2 linked regions of the Lonchura striata genome follow. Each later gene encodes a partner of the first gene's protein in a complex. Links are inferred from orthologs where the notes say so. Each region holds a gene or a part of one and is shown in the gene's direction. Other genes may lie near its edges. The genes, in order: FLT3 and FLT3LG.

Region 1 (7,730 bases):
CATGGGGATGTACTATGCATTCCTGCAAAGGAGTGATTGATGATGTTACCTCTTTCACAAAACTAGGTCGCCTGATCACCACAACTGGCACCTGTGTGGAGAGTGTTGCTGTACTTTGCATGAAATTCAGGAAGCAAGAGGAAGGCAAAAGAGATTGATACCCCTGGGTCTTGTCCCACTTTGTAGTTAAGTGATAACTGTGGTGTGCTTTTTGACCCAGAAAGGAGGAAATACCACTTGTATGCATGCCTGCAGCCATGGCCAAGTGACAGAGTGTCACTCTTATGAGCTGTGCCAGAAAGGCAGAACCAAACATTATGAGATGAAAAATCGAGGTGGGGGAGGGAAACCTTGGGAAGGAAACATCTGCCAAGAGCTCTTTTTTTCCAGCCAAATCAGCTTGCAAGTGCCAAGCAACTCCCCCCTAACATTTGAACCATTCTTGAGAAAGCCATGTTTGCTATTGAGTGTGACACCGTCTCTTTGTATCAACCCAGAATTAACTTATTTATTAAATCATGTGGAAACAGATCCTTAAGTGCAGGCTGGCATCAGATAATGCAAATGAATAGCAATACTTTTTAAGGGAAAGAGTTACTGTAGCTGACTTTTTTTTTAAGGTCTAGGTGAGACAAGTTTTGTAGGTAGGAATCTTGTTTAACCAAATAGTTGGAAAAGGTAATGTGTGAACGCTGGGTTTTTTCCAACAGTACCAGCTGGGTCTATTAGAAGATACTATCTCTACTTACAAAACTGGCCTTAGTATTGCTGAAACAGATCAAAGGAAATACTTCTAAACAAAGTTTGCACATAATCCAAATTTACCTTTTAAAGTCTATCATTATAGTATATAATTAAGGAAAAAAACGGATGTGATCAGGGTCTACAGTAATATTAGAAAGAATTTAGCATTTATGAATTTTTCATAATTGCTAATAATTATTTTTTTTTTTTTTCAAATAAAGCCTAATACTTCAGGCTATATACCAGCTACTGTCTGAAGTCAGAGGGAGATTGCCACTCTTGAGGAGGTTATTCCACAAAATTATCTGCCTTTGAAATATTTGAGGATTACTAACATGGCAGTCAGGATATTGGACTGCATGCAGTGACCTGCTGTGGCAATACCCATGGGTCCCTAACTGGGCAGTTGTCTTTACTAAGAGTATCGAAGAAACCAGGTGTTGCTCCTAACCAGACTCCTGTTCATGTGCAAAAAGAAATTCATTTCAACTCAGTGAAGTTTTGAATTCAAATCAAGTCACAAATCAGGAGTTGACCCTGAAGTGCTCTTCCTAACACCTACATTAATAATGTATGCTAAACCTTATATTAATAATGTATGGGGGGAGGTCTTAGCCCTAAGCTAGAATTAAAATTAGTACGAGCACTAAAATACAAGTCTAGTTTCACTGTGCTGGTAATCCAATCGTATGGTTCAGCTAGAGAATTTCTTACCATGGTGCTGCTCCCACTGGCTTAGGCTTTATCTGCTTGTTGCAGTGAAGGCCAACCAGGATGGATAAGCTGGATAAAACACTTGATAACAGAAACCATTTTCTCATGGTGGAAAAAAGCCCTGCTTACTCATAGAATGCTTTGCTATTGTATACATGTGTATGATACATTAATTGAACCCTTTTGGACCCCAGTCCAGCATCTTTAGGAATAAGTTAATATGGCAGAACTTATAAATATACTTTGGCTTAGTCCAGTAGATGTGAACTCTCCTAGCTGGATCTTTCACAGAAGCTTTTACACTGAAAACCTGACATATATGTTAAGGCTTCTGATACCAGATCAGCTGAATCACCAGCAACCGATTTTCATTATTAAACAGTAGTTTCTCCTTGTCAGAATCACAAAAAAGCAAAATATCTTCAATGGAATCCTAGCAGCTACCAGTGCTGAGTGCATCAGATGGAAGAAAAAACAAAGCACTTGCCAATTTTAAATCAGAGGACAAGAATCCACTTGCCTAGTACATATGTAAGTGTTTAGACAGGTCTTTGTCAGGCTACCCTACCAACAGTGAGCGCTCAGTGGCTGGGATAGATGTCTGTTATTTTCAGAACAGAAGTACAAACTGTCTACCCCTGTTTTCTGAGGGCAAAACCTCTATATATGTGTAGGGTTGAAAGGGGTACAGGAAAGTACAAAACGCATAATTTGTAAAGATGTTGAACTGATTTGGTCTCCCAAACCAATCCCTAAGGAACACCACTTGTCACTGCTCTCCACTTGGACATGAAGCCATTGACCACAATTCCTTGAATTAACCATCCATCCAATTCCTTGTCCACCAATTGGCGCCTCTGTCAAATTCGTATCTGTCCAGTTTAGACACAAAGTTTCATGAAGGACAGTGGACAATTCTTTGCGTAAGTCCAGGTAAATTATGTCAGGCATTCTTCCCTCTCACCAAAGCTGTAACCCCATCATAGAAAGCCACCAGATTTGCCAGGTGCCATTTGCCCTTAGTGAAGTCATGCTGACTGTCACCAGTCACCACCTTATTTTCTATGTGCCTTCTTATAGTTTCTAGGGGAATTTGCTCCAAGATCTTGACAGACAGCAAAACTGACTACACTGCTCTGTAGTTCCTTAGGTTTTTTTTTTTTTCCCTAAAGATGGTAAAGGATTGGGGTATCTGGTAAGGGAGTGAAATGGCTGGGGCTGTTTAGCCTGTAGAAGAGAAGGCTTGGGGGGAGCCTTATCAATGTGTATAAATATCTGATGGGGGAGCCCAACTCATTTCAGTGACAGAACCACCTGCAATGTGCACAAACTGTAAAAGAGGAAGTTCACTCTGAATATCAAGAAACATTTTTATACTGTGAGGTTGTTTAAGTGCTGAATAGATTGCCAGGAAAAGTTGTGGACTCTCCATCTCTGTTGGTATTTAAAACTGTACTGGATGTGCCCCGGGGCAGCCTGTGCTAGCTGATCATGTTTTGAGTATAGCACTGGACTAGGCAATCTTCAGAGGTGCCTTGATACCTCATTCATGCTTAGGGTCTGTGTACCAGTGTGGGCAGTGGAAAAAAAAGGGGCAACCTACCAGCCAAGAAAGCTTGTTGTCAGCATGGTATTTTCCTGTTTGCATCAATTTCTTTAAAGCCTATGGAATCCTATGCTTCTTTTTCTCATTTTTGCATCCTTGCAAATATGTACCTCCCTAATTTTCATATAATTTCAGCTCCTTCCTCTGCACTGCAAAACACACAAACTTGTGTTGAGCACCACAGTACAATGGTACTGACTCATTCAGTGTGTCTAAGGCAGTCTTGTGAGAGATCATACAGTCATATCATGAACAATGCTGGCCTCTGTGCCCCATTGCCTCTGCAGTTGCCTTCAGGATGTTTTATGTGTCTTCTTTTAGCTATGGTATGTCTGTCTAGTTCTGATTAATCTACTTTTTTTTTTTTTATTTCCCTAATGCAGAAGGCAGATATCAATAAAAAAATCTAAATATAGTCTCTGAGATGTTTCTGAGAACACTTTACCAATACTGAGTTTATTTGTTTAGGGATTCTTTTTATCCAGGTTCTGAACAATTGCAGAATCATTGCTCAGCCCTTGGCAAGTAAAAATAACAACTGAATGAATAAAAAATACCATTTTATATATAAAATACAACAGCCAAGCAAATAATAAAAATCCCCCAGTCTGTCCTGGGGAATCATAGAGGGGAAGCTCAAGCTTAATCCTTAGAACTGGGACTGATTTGTGCTTGGTGACTGTGATGCACAGCTGTGCAAGGCAGGGAGATCTGTCTGCCCCTCTGCAATGTCCTGTTCTGGTACAAATCAGTGGGGCTTGCTGGCCCCAGCAAGTTCTCCTACACCTGGAGCAGTTCCACCTCTTACACACCAACAACCTGGAGCCGATGAGGAGGCAGCTCCTGAAGCACTATGCTCCAAGGAAGGTGGCAAGCAGGGACAGGCTAAGGGCAGAGGGATGCTGCCTCTACAGGTTTGCATTTCAGCCTGGAGGCCTTTGTTTTCATCCCCTAGACAAGTAATCTGTGTAACAGCTTCAGAACAGCTGTGGCTTGCTTTGAACCTTCCTGCAAACAGTGCTAGTTCCCTGTTCCCCCTGGTATAAGCACAGCCCCATGCCACAGGCCCACTCCCTGCCTTGGTGGCAGCCCCCAGGATCTTGGAGGTGACCGCAGCAGGTCCTCTCTCACCAGCAGAGCAGAGGCTCACCAAGCATGGGAAACCTCCGTCGGCCCACCACGACAGATGTGGTGGGGTATTCCCATGGTGTTGCACGAACTTAATTTGGATTTTTTTTTTTGAGCTCTTCAGCTTGGCAAAACACTTGCTCTTCCCCTCATCAGGACTTGTAGAAATTATGCTAACTGCCAGTGTGTGAAAGCAGAAATTGTAACTGCTTCAAAAATAAGAGTTGAAGTGAGACAGCACAAATTTACAGGAGAAAATATGTCTTAGTAAGCATGAGCAAAGGACTTGAGACTGAGCAGCTGAAGTGGAGGCAGCTGCTCAGCTTGGTGGAGGCATCCTGTGACAGAAGGAAGATGCTCCCCGACCCCCAGAGAGGCCCCTCTTCTCCACGTCCCACAGCCGTTTCCTTGTGGCTCAGGTCTCGAGCCCTCTCATTTGAAGAAGTGGTTTCACTCTGGGCAGTGACATGCACCCTTAAGGCAACCACCTGCAGGCTCAGTTTCACTTGTGGGGCCAGGGCACTGCAGGGCGCCACCAGCAATGACAGCGAGTTGGCCCCACAGCTGCTCCACTAGAGCTCCATTTCATCTCGCAGGTGAGGTCTTCTCATCACACTCCTCAGGCCCTTTCATCTCCATTCCCCACTCTCACTGCACCCCTTCACATCTTTCCTTTCTCCTTTGATTTCTTCTTCTCTTGAATCTTTTATTTTCTGTCTCACCTTTCTTCTCTCTTCTGGAGATGCTCTTCTTTCTCCCATCACCCTAATCTCTCCCAGCCCAGCCCAGCTTTTTCTCTTACTGCATCTGACACATTTTATTCTCAAGGCAAAAAGTATTTAAATTACTGATTTTTTTTTTGTTCTCTTTCTTCTGATGTAAATGTATTTCCTGCTGTTAGTGCTAGCTTGACCTGAGCACTTTAAATAATATACCTGCAATTTCCCACATAAATAATCTATGAATCAGATACCTTAGTAGAGTGAAATATAATGATGTATCATTATCTTTTCAGGTTTTGTTGTTTTTGTTTAATGATCTAAATTGAAGAAAACATGATATTAATATATAGAAAGTACTCTTTGCTTACTGTTAGAGTGAAGTGTTTTGGAATTTAAAGCTTGATATCCTCTACTGAAAATCAGCCCAGCAATTAGCTGTTAAGAAAAAAGGAAATAGCATTTGCTTCCATCTCAAATGCCTGAAACTGTTTTTCTCTAAAATTAATGGCTTGTTCCTATCTAAAATGATCTTGCTGATTCAAAATCCAGGACTGGGTGCATGTTTTTCTCCTGATATAGTTCTAGTACATACCTGAGAAAGTTTTTTAACAACCTGTGGTCCATTTTCAGCTCCATATACAGAGATAATAATACTTACTTCAAAGAGAAATTGTTAGATATTATTCAGTTATGGTTGAAAGTCTACATGAGCTATTTGAAGAGAAGGTGGAGTAAAAATGAAAATTAATACTTTATGATCTTGTGCTTTGCATGATTGCTGATACTACTAAGCAAACCCTGTCAAGGAGGGATTTCTGTGTTTTCTTCTTTGACTGAGTTTTGCTATTTTGCAGGCTGCCTAACAAAACAAATAAAAATTACTAGCATCTGAAATGTAATGGTGCCCAAAGACCTGTCAGTGTGGGTAAGAGACATTTGTGCAGAGAGGCAAAAAGGTGTGAGAGCCCCAAGATATGATTATTCTCTAGGAGGACTGCTGTTCTTTCTGCTGAGATATTATTTAGTCAAGGCAAGGTGCACAGGGAGGCAGTGTTTCTTCTCATAAGGCTGGCTATTATAGGAGAAAAAGTGCTTTTGGACATACAAAGCAGTTAGGATCTGAAGCATCAGAGACAGACTTAACAGCAAAAATCCTGAGAACTGCTAGTTCCATATATGTCTCTAACAGATCACTCTTAAAAACAATTTTGATGTAAATAATGTGAAGCATTCAATAAATTATATACAATCTCTTAAAAATACCCGTGTCCCCTTTGAGAATCTGTTTTCTGATTGAGATAATATTGAGTAATAAATTGTGCAGACAACAGATGGTATCCATATGATGAACCAGTGTCATCAGAAATGGCAGCACTTAACCAGCAAAGGAAAGCTAAAGAATAATAACACCTGGAGGAAAATCTCCACAGTATCTTTAGACTTAAGGCAGCAGGTCAGTCTTAAAATTACAGGCTCAGAACTGCAAAAGTTTCAAGAAAGAACAAGCATCTTGCCTGTGTTATTTGTGAATAAATGCTCCCCAGCAGCAAGAAATTTAATCCCAAGAACTTCAGAAAACAATATACACAATACTATATATGTAAATACACCTATATACATTAAAAACACTATTCCAGTTTCTCATCTTACATTCTTCTGGTCATCCCAAACAAGAGTTTGTGGCTAAAGGGAATGTTATCTAGCATACAATTAGCCTTGCATTAGTGGATGGGGCAGGGATGGGGCCTGGGAACAGATGCAGTAGTAGTTTCGTGTTTTACAAATTGAAGAATTTTGTAAAAAGAAACATTCAGTGACCTTTCTCATCAGAGAAAGTTTTCCACTGACAACCACTCCTGCATCCTTTTTTTTAGTTGCACCCCTTTCTTACTGAGAGATGTTCATAAAACCCAGTTTCAGGGCACCTGAGAGAAATGAAGATATGAGAAGCTGCCTAAGATCTCCCTGTGGCTGGCAAATGAGAGGAAACATATATGAGCAAGGACTGCAAACTCAGATTCCAACAAGGTCCAGATTAGATTATGGTGTGTCTGACTGCACAAAAATTATAGAGTAGTACTGTTGAAAATTCCCTCACAGAACATATAAGTGTCCATTAAATTCCTATGACAGAGATCGTGGAAAATATGAGGTGGGCCAGCATGTTTCTTTTAGAGGAGAACCCAGAAATGTGTGGGACCCAGCCACCTGCAGGATCTGTTAAACTCACAGAAAATTGGATTTCTCTCCAACAAAACAGCTGACAAACATTCCAGAGCAAGTTAAGGCACTGAGCCCTGCCACTGGCAGGAAGGTGAAATCAATGAGCACCCCAGGGGGAACCAAGTTTGATCTTGTCTCTTTCCCAAAACATGCAAAAACTTGGGTGCAAGCTGGTTTTGAGTATTGGATAAGGCCAGTACATTGTCTGTTCACTCAGGGAAACTGTTGTGCCCAGCAGACCACATATTCATGGTCATCCATCACCATATATTTCATGGATCAGAAGATAAGGTATCACTTCTGAAGATTCCCGAAGGTGAAAGGACTGTGCAGGAAAATAGTTGTTTTCCGATGAAGTAAATGCAACTTAAAACTCTGGGTGTTTTGTGTCTTTTGAGGTTTGGGGCCATTTGCTTTTCCCTTTCTTCAGAAAATTCCTCTGGTTATCCATATTTCAATGTACTGAGAAGCTGGAAGATGCCCAGAGTGCAGCCCAACTTCCAGGGCTGCCCCACATCTCTGCCCAGTGTTGGGTGGATGCTGCTGTTGTGGCTGCTCAGCAGAGGAAGGTTTGTCAGCAAAGCAGAGCTGTG
Region 2 (7,280 bases), on another chromosome or scaffold:
CAGTTTTGGGGGGTCCCAGCAGTTTTGAGGTGTCCCTGTGGGGGGTCCCAGCAGTTTTGGGGGGTCCCAGCAGGTTTGAGGTGTCCCTGTGGAGGTCCCAGCAGTTTTGGGGTGCCTCCAGGGAACACGGCTCTGGTGCTGTGCCCAGCGGCCGCAGCGCCGCCGCTGCTGCTGCTGGGGGAGCTGAGCAGGGAGGGGGCAGCGCTGCCCCCCGGGGTCCTCAACGTCCTGGCGGGACCCCTGGAGCTGTGCCAGGCCCTGCGCGCCCACCCCGAAATCGCCTCCGTCACCTTCCTCGGGGTGCCCCAGGTACGGCCACGTCCCAGCCCCACGGCTGGGGGGAGCTGGGGCTCCTCTCACCCCCCTCCCCAATTTGGGGGTCCCCACGCACTGTCTGTGCCCCCAGGAGGAGCTGCCGGCCCTGGTTTGGGGGTCCCCGTGCCGGGGGCCGCGCCTGGGGGGTCCCCGAGGGGGCCGTGTCGTCGTCGTCGTCCTGGACTCGGCCGACCTGGACAGCGCTGCTGCCGCCGTCGTCGCCAGTGCCGCCGCGCCCCCGGCGCTGGTGGGGTCCCAGGGGGCTCGGGGAGTTCTGGGGGGTTTTTAGGTCTTTCTGGGAGAGGTTCAGGGGTTTTTGTGGAGGTTTGGTGGTTTCTAAGGAGTTTTCTTGGGGGGGCTTTTTGGGAAGGTTTCAGGGTTTTTTGTGGAGGTTTCTCAGGGGTTTTTTTGGGGGGGCCTTTTGGGGAAGTTTCAGGGGTTTTTGTGGAGATTTGGCAGTTTCTAAGGAGTTTTTTTGGGGAGGTTTCAGGGGTTTTTGTGGATGTTCGGCAGTTTCTTAGGAGTTTTCTTGGGGGGGTCTTTTGGGGAGGTTTCAGAGGTTTTTATGGAGGTTTGGTAGTTTCTTGAGGGTTTTTTTGGGGGGGCCTTTTGGGGAGGTTTCAGGGGGGTTTTTTTGGCATGTTTGGTGGGGCTTTTTAGGAGGTTTCTGGGTTTCCCATGGGGGAGGTGTGTCAGTTTTTCAGGGGGTCCCTGATCCCCCGGTGCCTCCTGCGTGTCCCCAGTTCCCGGCTGGGGGGTGCGTGGTGCTGGCACAGGACGCGGTGGCGGCAGCGCTGGAGCAGCGGCTCCGGGCCCGCCTCGGGGGGCTGCAGCTCGGGGACCCCACAGACCCCAAAACGGAGGTGGGGCCGCTGCCCCCTGGGACCTGCCCGCCGGAGGGGGTGGTGCAGGAGGCGCTGCAGGAGGGGGCTCAGGTGAGGGGGTGCGCAAAGGGGGCCGGGTGGGGTGGCTGTGGGGACATCGGGGCAGCACAAAAGGGTTGGGAGGGTGGGGAGGGGCACGTGGTGTTTGGGGGTCAAGGTTGAGACTTCCTGGACATTGCTGTCTCCTGGGGTGAAATCCGGAGGTTCCCAGGGGTGGGTTTGGGTGCTCCTGGATGTTGGGACTGGCTGTGGGGCCATTTGGGGTCCCCCGGGGTCAGAGTGGGGGTACCCTGGGTGGCACTCTGAGGGTCCCCACCTTGTTGGGACCCCTGTTGTTTTCTGCCTAGGTTTTCCAGGTGCCGCTGCCACCGTTGCCGGAGCAGGAGCATCGCTTCTACCCCCTGACGCTTATCTCGGGGGTGGCCCCGACCTCACGCTGTCTGCGGGAGCCGGTGGGTGCCCCGGGGCGCCCTGGGGTGGGGGGCGTCCAGGGGCGCCTTTTGGGGCTGCCCTGAGCGTGCCCTGCCCCGCCAGGCCCCCGGGCCGCTGCTGGTGCTGCTGCCCGTGCGCAGCCCCACGGAGGCCGTGGCCTTGGCTTCGGCGCTACCCCAGACCGCGGCGGCTGCCGTCTGGGCCCAGGACATCACCATGGCCTTGGACACAGCGGACAGGTGACCAGCAGCCCCCTGAGCCCTGGGCCCAGGAGCGAGCGCTGGGCGCTGAGCACTGACCCCTCTCCAGGCTGCCCCAGGGGCTGGTGTGGCTCAACGCCCTGGACCTGCTGGACCCCAACGGGGGCTGCGCCGGGGGGGCTGCGGACACTGACCCGGATGAGGTGGGGGCTGCCAAGGGGGGGCTCTTCTGGGAGTCCTGGGTGGTTTGGGAGGGGTCCAGGGGGGTCGGGGGTGTCCTGGAGAAGCTGGAGGGATGTGGAGGTCTCCTGGGGTGGGTTCTGAGTTTTTCAGGGGGGAGTGGGGTGGGTTTTGGGGTTCCTGTGCAACTGTTGCAGATGGGCTCTGCCCCCCCCGGACTCCCTCCAGGCGCTGCGAGAATTTGGGTGCCCCCCCTGGGAACAGGCCCCCAAGGTGGATGAGCTGCTCAGGTACCCCCTGATGGGACAGGGACCCCTCTCCAGGATGGAGACTCCAAATTAGGGGGTCCTAGGACAAGAACTCCAAGACCGAGTTCCATTGGGACCCCAGTCAAACACCCTCAGCACCCCCTTCTTCCCTCCCGGGGTGGTCCCAGCCCCATCCTGTCCCCCCCGGAGGGTCCTGTGCACCTCTCAGGACCCCGATTGTCTCTCTCAAAGGGGTCCCGGTGACCCCCCGGTGCCCCTCCCACAGCGATGCCCTTTGATTCCCTGTCTCCCGTCCCTGTCGCAGCCCACTGGTGGCCGTGGATGACCCCGGCGATCCCGAGCTGGCTCATGCCGTGGCCGCCGCCCGTGGGGCCGCCCCGGGGTGAGTGCGAGGGTGGGTGGGCGGCTCCTCCAGGGGTGTCCCCCGACCCCCTTGGGAGGAGGCGTCGGTCCCCAATGCCCTCGGCTCCCGCAGGTGGGGGCGGCTGCCGGGAGCGTCGCGGGCCCGGGTGCTGCGGGGCGCGGCGGCGGCGCTGGCGGCGGCACCCGGGACCCCCGCGGACGGCGGCGGCGCGGACGGGAGCCTGCAGGGGGCGCTGCTGCGCTGGGCGGCGCGCCTGGAGCGCGGGGGCGGGGCCGTGCAGGTGGGCGTGGTCAAGGGGCGGGAGGAGAGTGGGTGATGCAAGAGGGGGCGTGGCCTATGACTGGGCGTGGCCAATCCCGCTGCAGGACGTGCCCGGGGGGCGGGCGCTGCTGGCGAGGCGGCCGCTCGGAGTGCTGGGCGTGGCCTGGGGCTGGCCACGCCCACTGGCGCTGCAGCTCCTCCTCCCGGCGCTCGCGCTCGGCAACGCCCTGGTGGTCGTGGCGCCCCCTGGCGGCGCCGGTTCCGCAGAGCGGCTTCGGAAGGTGCGGAACCGCGGGACCCCCCGCTGCCCCCCCGGTGACACCTGTGATGCCCCAGGAACCCCCCCGGGTGACCCCCATGCCCCCCGTTCCTCCCCCGCGACCCCCGGGAGCCCGCATATGTTCCCCCCAGGACCTCCCATGTGCCTCCTGTGTCCCTTCATGTGCCCCCCTGAAACCCTCCAGGACACCCCACGTCCCCTTCCTTCGCTGCAGGAAGCCGCCCCGCTCGGTGACACTCCCCTCTTCCTCTGTGTCCCCAGGCTCTGGTGGCCGCCGGGCTTCCCGGGGGTGTCCTGACGGTGCTTCCCGGGAATTCCCGGGGCTCCGGATCTGGCCTGGCGCGACATCACCCGGACGGGCTGTGGCTGTGCGGGGGGGACGCGGTGAGTGGAGGGGCAGTGGGGGGCAGAGTGTGGGGACACGGGGAAAGGGGACAGTGGAGGGCACGCCGGGGAAGGAGGGTTGACACTGGTGACGTTCTGGGGGTCTCAAGCCGTGGGACGGCTGCTGTGGTGGGGATTTGGGGTGCGGGGGACATCACCCCAGCTCTCCCCATCTGTCCCCTCTTATGTCCGCCCACCCAGGACTGCGACTGGGCCTCTGCCGTGAGCGTCCCCCGCGTTTGGGGGGTCCCGGCGGGACTCGTGGGGGCTCCGAGGCAGGACCCTCCCCCCGGCGCCGAACGGGAGCTGGAGCTGCGCTGCACCCGCCCCCACTGCCTTTGGCTTCCGGGGGGCGCTCCCTGAGATGCCCTCCAGAGCCTCCCAAATCTGCGGGGATTTCAGATCTCACACTGTGCCCCCAGCCCCGCGACCCCCACCCCAATAAACCGCTCCGAGTCGCAGCCGCTGTCACGTTTCTGTTTAGGGGGGGGACCGGGTTGGTCTCGCGCTGGAGGGGGGGGGGATGTTTTGGGGTGCCCCGCCCCGCACGTGCCCGGACGCCCCGGCCCCCCTCCCACGCTCGGGGCAGCCGCACCCAAAGCTCTGCGGGGCAGGGCGGGGGGTCCCGAGCGCCGGAGCTCCCGTGGGAATAGAGGGGGAGTCCCCGGGGTGAGGAAGGGGCGGCCCGGGGTCCGCGGCGTGGGAGGGGGAGGCTCGGGACGTCCCGCTGCCCTCTCGGGTTTCCTGGGCCCCCTCCCGGCTCGGTCCCACTTTCGGTTTCGGCGGCGGCTCCGCCGCGGCCCGAGGGGTCCCGGCGGGGGTCCCGGGGGTGGCTCCGGGAGCGCTCGGGGGTTCCGGTGCGCCGTCCCCGGCTCCATACCGCGATGGACTTGCCCCCCCTCCGCTCTGCTCTGGTAAGTGGGGACCCCCTCCCTCCGCCCCGCAATGTGACCTGCGCCCCTCTGGGACCCCCGCGAGAGCCCCTTGGGACGTCCAGAGCCCCCCCCGGTGACTCCCAGGTGCCGCTCCTGCTCCTCCTGGCCGTGCCCACCCCCAGCAGCTGCTGCTCCTTCGGCTTTAACCCGATCAGCAGCACCTTCAGCACCCACCTGAACAACCTGGTGAGACAGACCCCCACCCCCAGGACATCCTCCCGCGCACCCTAGTACGCCCCCTGACCTCCGGGATCCTCACGGGACCTCCCAGATCCCCCTGAGACCCAAAAGATTCCCCTGCGCCTCCCTCCCCCTTCCCCCGAACTCCCTCATTCCCCAGGGAAGGCCCCACCCTGGGTCCCGAAAACCCCCTGACTGCACCCCTTCACCCCCAAAGGGTCGTTGGGGACGCCCTGAGCGCCCCCCTCAGCCCTCTGGGCTGCTTTTGGGGACCCCCTGACCCCTCCCACAGACCCCCTGGCTGCTCCTCGACTACCCTGTGGCGATGCCCAGCAACCTGGAGCCGGTGAGCGAGAATCCCCCAAATCCCACGTGTCCTCCCCCAAATCCCTCCCTGTTCCTGCACCCCCGGACACCTCTGACCCCTGACCCCTGTCCCTCCAAACCCTGAACTGCCCTGGCCTCCCCAGGACGGCGCCTGCTCTGATCTCTGGGGGCTTCACTTTGGGGCACTGGCTCTGCAGCGAATGTTGGGGGTGGCGGGGAAGGATTTGGCCCCCCTGCTCAGGACCCTCCTTGCCCAGCTCCACTTCGTGGCCGAGTGTCACATCCAGGTGGGTGGGGGTCCCCGGGGGGCTCCGGGGGTCCTGGAAGGAGGGGGAGTTGGGAGGCTCGGTGTGCACCGTTACGGGGTGGTCCTGGGGCAGCCAAGATGAGTCTGGGGGCCTGAGGGGCTCTGGGGACCCCACAGGGCTCAGGGGGTTCCCTGAGGTGTCTAGGGTAACTCTGGGAGCCTTGTGGGGGTGCAGGAGCTCTGGGGCATTCCTGGGATTTCCCAGGGTGGTTCAGAAGGGGTCTGGGTCCCCCGGGGGGGCTCCTACAACATCTCCCCAGGACCCCCAGCGCTGTGTCCAGCTGGAGATGGTGAATGTGTCGCAGCTACTGGAGACGCTCATGCAGCACCTGGGGGGGCTGCAAGGGAGACCCCCCCACTTCCCCGGCTGTGCCCGCTTGCGCTGCCACCCAGGTACCCCTCAGGACCCCTGAGAGACCCCCGTAACCCCCCCTGGGGCAGCTGCTGACCCCTGTCTTCCCCCAGGCCCGGCGCTGACCAGCCCAGCAGTGCGGCACGAGGGGACCTTGGGGGCCAGGCAGGGAGCCGCCAGCCCTGCTGGACATGGACTGGTGCTGCTGGGGGGAGTTGGGGGTGTCCTGGTCTTGGTGGCGGTGGTCTGGGTACTGTGGAGGAGACCCTGTGCCCAGGTGGGGACACTGGGGGCACTGACGGGCACTGGGGACACCCGGGAGGATGGCGTTCCTGGGGACACAGCGGGTGGTGAGGGCATGAGGGGCACTGGGGATGGTGTGTGCACTGGGGACACTGTGGATGCTGGCTGTCATGGGGACATTGGGAGCATTGGGGGCTGTCTTGGGGTCACTGGGAGGAGGACTGACAACATTGGAAGCACTGGGGAGCGCTGGGAGGTCATTCCCCTCAGCCCCCTCCAGCCCTCACAGAGACCCCCGACATGGGAGCAGGATGCAACCTGAGTGGCCGAGTGGTAATTGGGGACAGACACAGGTACTGGGAGAGCTCCTGGATACTGTTATCACTGGGAATATCCTGAGGGGGGCCAGGAGAGGCCCCTGGATCATCAGGTCCTCACCCTCTGCCCCTGCCCAGGCTGGCCTGAGCCACTGGTGAGAGACGGGGACCCCCCAGTTCCCTGCTGGAAGCCCTCGGGAGCTACACCGGGATCTCCCAGAGCGACGGAGAGATGAGGGGGCCCAGCCTGGCCCCGTGCAGTGCCCATAAAGCTGATGTTGACACCCTGACTCTGACCCTGCTCTGGGAGGACTGGGTGGACTGGATGAGTGTTTGGGGGAACTGGTCGAGAGTGGGGTGGACACAGAATTGCGCAACTGGCCTTTACTGGGGGTCTCACAGGGGCGGGGGGTTCCGGTAGTGCAGCTGGAGCTGGGGCCACTGGCAGGGCAAGAAGTAGAGCAGGGCCAGCAGTGCCAGCAGCGCCAGAGCCCATGGTGACAGTGGTGTCCACGGTGACAGTGGTGCCTGTGGGGTCACTGCCTTGGCCACCTCCTCACTGCTCCACAGCAGGCCTCCTCCTCCTGACAGTGCCATCCCTCTGTCCTCCTCCTCCTCCTTGTCTGCTGTCTCCTGGGCAGAGCCTCTGGGTCAGTGGCTGAGGGGACCCTGCAGGGTCCCCCCTGACCCCATTCTTACCTGGCTCACCGCTGCCATGGCCTGGATGTCTGGCTGGCTGCTCGGGCACCACGGGCGCCTATGGAAGGCAGAGGAGGGTGAGGATGCTGAGGTGAGGGCTCCGGGGCATCCTGAGGATGTCCCCTGCCCATGTGTCCCCCACATACATGGCCCAGGCGTCCCGCATCTGGCCCAGCTGCTGCCGCAGCCGCGTCGTCTCCAGACGCAATTCCTGGGGGGGAGAAGGGATTGTCACCCTCGGCCCTTGACCCCCACATAGGGAGTGGCCACCGTGGGGCTTTGCTGTGGCCACTGCCTGGGCTCACACCGAGGCCAGATGTGCTGTACCTGCACCATCCGCTCATACTCCTC

What was found.
Region 2: the proteins of FLT3 (region 1) and FLT3LG are in contact, whole or in part, in a crystal structure (PDB 7QDP), measured with the Homo sapiens proteins. The link is inferred for Lonchura striata from reciprocal best matches to the Homo sapiens genes FLT3 and FLT3LG. Residues at the interface, in NP_004110.2 of Homo sapiens: Asp180, His279, Gly280, Phe281, Gly282, Met300, Ser301, Thr302, Tyr303, Asn306, Arg307, Met309, Arg311, Ser333; in NP_001191431.1 of Homo sapiens: His34, Ser35, Pro36, Ile37, Ser38, Ser39, Asp40, Lys44, Lys87, Glu99, Asn102, Thr103, Glu104, His106, Phe107.

Annotation. Positions count from the first base shown.
Region 1 is NC_134604.1:68,999,908-69,007,637, forward strand, and holds the start of FLT3 (receptor-type tyrosine-protein kinase FLT3), read left to right. Parts: upstream 1-4,658; 5' UTR 4,659-4,733; coding exon 4,734-4,788; intron 4,789-7,730. UniProt on the Homo sapiens protein: Tyrosine-protein kinase that acts as a cell-surface receptor for the cytokine FLT3LG and regulates differentiation, proliferation and survival of hematopoietic progenitor cells and of dendritic cells.
Region 2 is NC_134640.1:2,936,471-2,943,750, forward strand, and holds FLT3LG (fms-related tyrosine kinase 3 ligand), read left to right. Parts: upstream 1-4,309; 5' UTR 4,310-4,453; coding exon 4,454-4,483; intron 4,484-4,588; coding exon 4,589-4,690; intron 4,691-4,976; coding exon 4,977-5,030; intron 5,031-5,154; coding exon 5,155-5,298; intron 5,299-5,578; coding exon 5,579-5,711; intron 5,712-5,783; coding exon 5,784-6,235; 3' UTR 6,236-6,266; intron 6,267-6,368; 3' UTR 6,369-6,520; downstream 6,521-7,280. Other genes in the region: ALDH16A1 (aldehyde dehydrogenase family 16 member A1), read left to right, coding at 122-309, 407-562, 1,059-1,250, 1,547-1,651, 1,734-1,870, 1,941-2,034, 2,240-2,301, 2,585-2,662 and 4 more. UniProt on the Homo sapiens protein: Stimulates the proliferation of early hematopoietic cells by activating FLT3. Synergizes well with a number of other colony stimulating factors and interleukins. Required for the development of B cells, and dendritic cells (DCs).